Linked DNA regions of Xenopus tropicalis. The protein of the gene in region 1 interacts with the protein of each later gene in a pairwise test. Links are inferred from orthologs where the notes say so. Each region holds a gene or a part of one and is shown in the gene's direction. Other genes may lie near its edges.

Region 1 (2,625 bases):
ATAGAATATATACTATAGATGACATTATGATACGTTGGTGTGCCTCCCATACAGACTTATGCTACTTCTCTAATTTCTGTCTGTCTTTTCCCTAGGGGTTTCGGGCAGATAGAAGTCAGCAGTCCGTGTTATGTGTGTAGAAACCCTGTGCTGCCCAGCTGTATCCTCCCACCTCGCCGGAACCAAGGCCCTCGAACCCGCAATACTCACAGCTGTTTAGCCGAAAATTGTTACAACCGAAGAGGTGAGTAGGATTCCACAGGGGGAGGAAGGAGAGATATTGCAAGGGGTGGGCTCTATTTACCAAGCACGTCCTTCTAAGCTGGCCATACACAGTCTGACAGTAGATGCCAATATGGCCAGTGTTTATAGGTCCAACTCATAAGCCCGCCAACGGTTCACCACATCAGGCTGTTGATGCAGTTTTACCCCAAAGGACCATTTGGGATCCCATTGGCTTGGGAATGAATGACTGGATCAGCCCACTTTAGCTTATGGCCATATCGGCCACTCATTTGGTGAATCTTTACAGCCATAGCCAACTCTGATCTCTTTAATGCCCTCCTTGCAGTACCCTTCGTTGCTGGCCTGCAGTGCGCCCATCCAAAAAGCCGAATCATGAACCAGCTCCCCAAAGTGCTGCACCCCAGTGAGCCCCACATCAGTACAGGCTCCACCATAGCAACCTGCCTGAGCCAAGGGAGTCTGACCGAAAACGATATTGATGACATCATACTGGACGATATCAAGGAGGAGGAAGAGGATGAGGGAAGTGATGACAGTGATGGCTAAGGACACGTGTTTATTAGGTACCCGCTGGCCGAGCGTAAGTGGAGAGTGGCTTGGCCAGACCGAGACCAAAGCCCAACACTGTCAGAGCCTCTCCATATAACCTGTAGGCCACTGGCTTGCTTCTGTTTAATACTTATCTCTCTCCTGGCTGCAGATTAGAACATACTCATTTCTATTTCAGTTCCTGTAATTTCAGTTTATCAGTGTACCTAGTGCAGACGAAAGCTGAGTCACATTGGCTTAGCCAGCAGAAGTGTAGGGACTACGTTCCCATAGTGCCTTAATCTTTTTCACAAGTAACCAGAACTGGTCCATACAACTCACACTTCATATATCCTTCACCAGCAGGACTTCATACTCGTCTTAAAGCTTCATTTGCTCCATATATTTATCAATATAATCTTTTACTTTAAAGCCTTATCCTGCTCCACAAAGTCCTCTTGGCTCTCCATGTAAGCCTTCCCTATAGACCTTGTTGCTGCAGATATTTCCTATCTATAACCCCTCCCTATAACTCCTCCTATTGCTCCATATAACCCTTCCCTATAACTCCTCATATTGCTCCATATAACTCCTCCCTATAACTCCTCCTATTGCTCCATATAACCCCTCCCTATACCTCCTCCTATTGCTCCATATAACCCCTCCCTATAACTCCTCCTATTGCTCCAATTAACTCCTCCTATTGTTCCATATAACTCCTCCCTATCACTCTTCCTATTGCTCCATGTAACTCCTCCTATTGTTCCATATAACCCCTCCTTATTACACTTCTGGTCAAACTCCTCCTACTTCTCAAAATGACACTTGATTTAGGTGCCTGTAGCAGAAGCCAGAGTTAGACATGAATGTAGCACTTATTGCTTTTAGCAGATTTGCGTCTGCATCTTTTGCTGCAAAAAAAGCATTGGCACTTAAGCCCCCTATAAGGGTCACTTTCCATTTCAGTTTCTCTTTTTTGAAGATGTATATATTTGAAAAAAAAAATTGTTCTTGCTATCTTAACGTGTTTTTCTGAAATGCAAAGATTTTTCAGAATAAAAAAAAAAAAAAATAAGACTCGAAAACTCGATTGACCTTTATCTGAAACCATGAAAAGAGATAAAAGATTCATATATGGAAAATGATGATACATGGGATTTACAGTGTATATAAACTCTTTATTATACATACATGGCAATGACCATTATAAGATGATCCTGAGCAATGGATCAGTGCTAGGGTTACCCCCACCCTCTTATTAAAACCTCACACATATACTGTATCTACATCGCACTTGCCCAATTAACACTGCTGCAGCCTGCACTGGTTTTTGCATCAGATCAATAGCCATTGAAAACAGATGTTAAAGGGGGTATGTGTGTGTGTGAGAGAGCAGAGATGTCAAGTGATCCCATATCATTGGGGGTAATAGAGATCCGCTTTTTTGAGGCCTTATTTCATGCCATAGGGTTACTTGATGTCTGTGCAGGGTGAGTCTAGTCATTATACATTTGGTTTGATCATCATGGACACCTTCTTAAGAGAGTAGGCACCACCGCGAAATTCAGCCCAATACACTCCATCTTGGTAGCGGCTCCGGTAATGGCCTCCCCGGTACCATATCCCATTGAGGTTGGAGTGGGCACACATGTTGTACCACCAGCCGCCCTTATGGAAATGGGCACAGTTACCTTAAGAAAGAAAAGATGAAGTGAAATTCTAGCGGGCATCATAACTGCAGGGAAATGTCATCAATATAACTTATTCCCATGGAAACTTATTGGCAAGGTTGGTATTAAAAAAAGGGACTTGTTGGACTACAATTTACAGAATCCCTCAGATGCTGAAAGT
Region 2 (4,332 bases), on another chromosome or scaffold:
AATGGTGTAACAACTGCAATAATTGGGAGACAGGAGAAATCATTAAATCTGCTGGAAGTGGAGCAAGTAAATGACAATAATACTTGGGGCTTAAGCAGACAGTAAAATGTACTAATGTACAAACTAGACCAAAAATAGACATTATTGCCAAAAAAAACCAAATCTTTCTGGGGTTTATTGCACAAGTCCAGAAAAATAGGTGGCTGGAAGCACATCTCAAGGGCTGGCTGAGCACAGCGGGGAATACTGGAGGTAGAGACCCAGATATTGCAGAAAATGGACAATGAACACATTAACCCTAGATATGCTAGTTAGATCACTGCAGAAAATAGATTGAAAGCTGCAAACTTGTCTTCTCCTGCCCTCTCTCTGTTGCCATGCTGCTTTCCATGCACTGCAATAGCTGACATGGATGTATCAAAATTAAAGACAGCTGTGTTCCACACCATCTATCAAAGGAGAGAAAGATCTTCAGAGATCAGGGGGAAAGAGCCAAAGAATGGGGCAACGCAGGACATTTAAAGAGAGATCAGGGACAGTGGGCTGTGCTGCTAGTAAACCAGACAGTTGGGGGGTACGCAGGCAGGGGGAGTCCAATGTGAAACTCTTAGGGGCACATTTACTAATGCACAAATCCAAATCCCGAAGGGAAAAAATTGGATTGGAAATGAAAATTTTGCGACTTTTTCGTTGCCGTCGCATTTTTTTTGTATTTTGCGCAATTTTTTCATCGCCGTCACAACTTTATCGTATTTTGCGTGACTTTTTCGTTGCCGTCGCGATTTTTTCGTATTGAGCAATAGTAAACGGCGGAAAAACTAATCCGATTTTTTCGTGACGGTGAGGAAAAAGTTGCGGAAAATATACGATAAAGTTGTAACGGCGACGAAAAAATCATGGGACATAGGAAAAAGTCGCGACGGCGACGAAACGTTGCAAAAGTACCGATCATTACGAAAAAACGCACCCCATAGATTTGCCAGTTTTTGCCCTGAGCATGAAGGCAAGGTTAGGCACCTGCTTTAGCTGGCACTTTATTTCGGCCACATCTGGTAACTCTAGTTGTTCCTGAATGCAGAGCTTAGTTTTGCTTTCTGCATTAATAATCCAGCTCCAAAGTGCCAGAGAGGTATGCCCCATGGGTAGAGTACCAGCCTGGCAGGTAAAGCGATGCTTCATGCCAATGTTATTAACAGAGAAAAAATATCAAATGAATGCCGGTATTTTTTCCCAGAAAAGGGGAAACTATAAAACATATAAAAGAAAAATCAAATTCTCTCCGATACCGATATCGCTGCCCTCCTGAGCCAAAGCCGCGTATCTGTAAGCGCAGGTCCCGCCCACTGCTCCTGGGCCCGCCCCGGGGGAGGGGCTTGTCGGTAGCTCCCCAGCGCTCACACACGGGGGTTTGTTTTGCTGCGCGGCGGCAGCAGGTAGTTGTGCCCGGGACGTGTCATGTAATTGTGCTGCATGGGCTGTGCGGGGAGTTGTGCGCGGCCGGGACACACAGCTGGGCGCACCGACAGGACCATGCGTCTGACTGAGGTAGGATACTGGGGCCGCTTGTTTGGTACATTTGCTCTGCTATTCGCTATCCCCAAGCCATGAAACTTTGTAGTGATGGAAGGCGAGTGGCACGAAAAGCACAGAGACTTAATCGCACCACAGGGCTACAACTTGATTCATCTCCTTAGTACTAGGGACTTGGCCTGTCAGCACCGAATGGGTTAATGACACGTTCCATCTGATGAGACAAGCGATCCCCCTGCTGTTACAGGGGAGCCCCCAGCATCTTTACTGGCACCGTGTGCCCCTGCCTGGCATGGACCCGCTACTGGCTGCATTGGTACCGGGCATGGTGCCACCGGGATGCAGTTATTAGGCGCCCACTAATTAGGGTTGGTCCCCATTCTTGCCCGGGATTGCGCTTCCCTTCGGCAGTAATTGGGGCACAGTAATAGGTATGTGCCAGTCCTGCGTGTCTGTTCTGCATTAGGGCTGCCTGCTTCTTACAGCTTGCCGGGCACAGGGGTACATAGAGCAGTGCCGGGCACAGGGGTACATGGAGCAGTGCCGGGCACAGGGGTACATGGAGCAGTGCCGGGCACAGGGGTACATGGAGCAGTGCCGGGCACAGGGGTACATGGAGCAGTGCCGGGCACAGGGGTACATGGAGCAGTGCCGGGCACAGGGGTACATGGAGCAGGCCGGGCACAGGGGTACATGGAGCAGTGCCGGGCACAGGGGTACATGGAGCAGTGCCGGGCACAGGGGTACATGGAGCAGTGCCGGGCACAGGGGTACATGGAGCAGTGCCGGGCACAGGGGTACATGGAGCAGTGCCGGGCACAGGGGTACATGGAGCAGTGCCGGGCACAGGGGTACATGGAGCAGTGCCGGGCACAGGGGTACATGGAGCAGCGCCGGGCACAGGGGTACATGGAGCAGCGCCGGGCACAGGGGTACATGGAGCAGTGCTGGGCACAGGGGTAAATGGAGCAGTGCCGGGCACAGGGGTACATGGAGCAAGCAGTGCCGGGCACAGGGATAGAGCAGTGCCGGGCACAGGGGTATATAGAGCAGTGCGGGGCACAGGGGTATATAGAGCAGTGCCGGGCACAGGGGTATATAGAGCAGTGCAGGGCACAGGGGTATGTGGAGGGAGCAGTCCCGGGCACAGGGGTATATAGAGCAGTGCAGGGCACAGGGGTATGTGGAGGGAGCAGTGCGGGGCACAGGGGTACATAGAGCAGTGCGGGACACAGGGGTACATAGAGCAGTGCGGGGCACAGGGGTATATAGAGCAGTGCGGGACACAGGGGTACATAGAGCAGTGCAGGGCACAGGGGTATGTGGAGGGAGCAGTGCGGGGCACAGGGGTACATAGAGCAGTGCGGGGCACGGGTATGTGGAGGAGCAGTGCGGGGCACAGGGGTACATAGAGCAGTGCAGGGCATAGGGGTACATAGAGTAAGCAGGGCAAAGTAATATACCATGCAAGCAGTGCACAGCCACAGGGGCACACAGGGCAGGGAGCTGGCAGGAGGATCCGTAGACTGACAAAATTACCTAAAATGGTTTGAGAGAGAGAGAAAGTCAGAGAACAGTGGCTCATTCATTAGGTAAAGTAAGGTGTTTAATGATCATGAGACGTGCCAAACCCTGCTGCGCCCACCCATCCCCAGGGGGTCTCTATCTGCCTCTGCCCCCCTCTCTCTCCCCGGCTCCAGTTCACATCCCAGCAGGGGTAGCTTGGGACTCTGGATTCATGGAATTTCACTGAATTCTCTCCTTGTCTATTGCTTAGGGCCAATGGGCAAGAATGTATCGAGGATAAAAACTTTGTAAAGTGCTGTATATTTCAGCTCCCCTCACCCCTACACAGTGCTCTAAGCGCCAGACTGCTAGTGCTGTAGTGTGATGCCCAGTGTTTGTGTCAGTATGAGCAAATCCTCCAAACTTCATTCCTATTGGATAATAAATGTTACATCTTTAGTCTAATGTTATTTATGCACTCAATAAACTATCATGGAAGGAACATGACAAACCCAACTGCTACCCAGATTAATGTGCAATTTCACTCTATGGTTGCACCTTTATGTTTTGGGGTCCCTAAAAAGATTTGAGTTCATGTAGTTTCTATATAAGCCATTGCTATAATGGATGGACACATAATATTTGGTAACTAAGAAATATATGGGTTTATTGGAACGATTGTAGCTATAGGAATCACAGTGACATTACTGTTTGTACTCCTTTGCAGTTGAGCATGTGAAAGAAAGTTAGCTGCTAACAGAAATTCCATAAGAAAGTTTTTGTTGATGCAGATGCCTTAAAGGACAACTAAACCCTAAAAATAAATATGTTTAAAAAAGTCATATTTTATATACTGAACTTATTTCCATACTTTATATACTGAACTTATTGCACCAGCCTAAGGTTTCAGCATCTCAATAGCAGCAATGATCCAGGGCTTCAAACTTGTCACAGGGGAAGTGTCAGTGACACTGCACATGCTCAGTGTGCTCTGAGCATCTATTGAGAAGCTGAGCCTTGGAGTCATCACAAATTTTCAAGTAGAAAATGAGGTTGGTCTATCATATAAACTGATGCTACAGGGCTGATTATTAAATTCTGATGCTAACTGCACTGGTTTATAAGCTGCCATGTAGTAATTATCAGTATTATTTACTAATCAGCCTTATATTGTGACATTTATATTCTATATATACAGGATATTGTGAGTTGGTCCCTAAGCTCATTTAAGTGACAGCAGCACAGAGTATGGGCAGCGAATCAGCAGAAAAGAAGATGGGGGGCTACTGGGGCATC

What was found.
Region 2: the proteins of shfl (region 1) and tns2 interact in binary tests that used the Homo sapiens proteins (3 or more experiments, as listed by UniProt). The link is inferred for Xenopus tropicalis from reciprocal best matches to the Homo sapiens genes SHFL and TNS2.

What each region holds. Positions count from the first base shown.
Region 1 is NC_030679.2:136,804,327-136,806,951, reverse strand, and holds the end of shfl (shiftless antiviral inhibitor of ribosomal frameshifting protein homolog), read left to right. Parts: intron 1-95; coding exon 96-244; intron 245-571; coding exon 572-792; 3' UTR 793-1,849; downstream 1,850-2,625. Other genes in the region: angptl6 (angiopoietin-related protein 6), read right to left, coding at 2,278-2,465.
Region 2 is NC_030678.2:147,616,065-147,620,396, reverse strand, and holds the start of tns2 (tensin-2), read left to right. Parts: upstream 1-1,390; 5' UTR 1,391-1,470; coding exon 1,471-1,545; intron 1,546-4,332. UniProt on the Homo sapiens protein: Tyrosine-protein phosphatase which regulates cell motility, proliferation and muscle-response to insulin. Phosphatase activity is mediated by binding to phosphatidylinositol-3,4,5-triphosphate (PtdIns(3,4,5)P3) via the SH2 domain.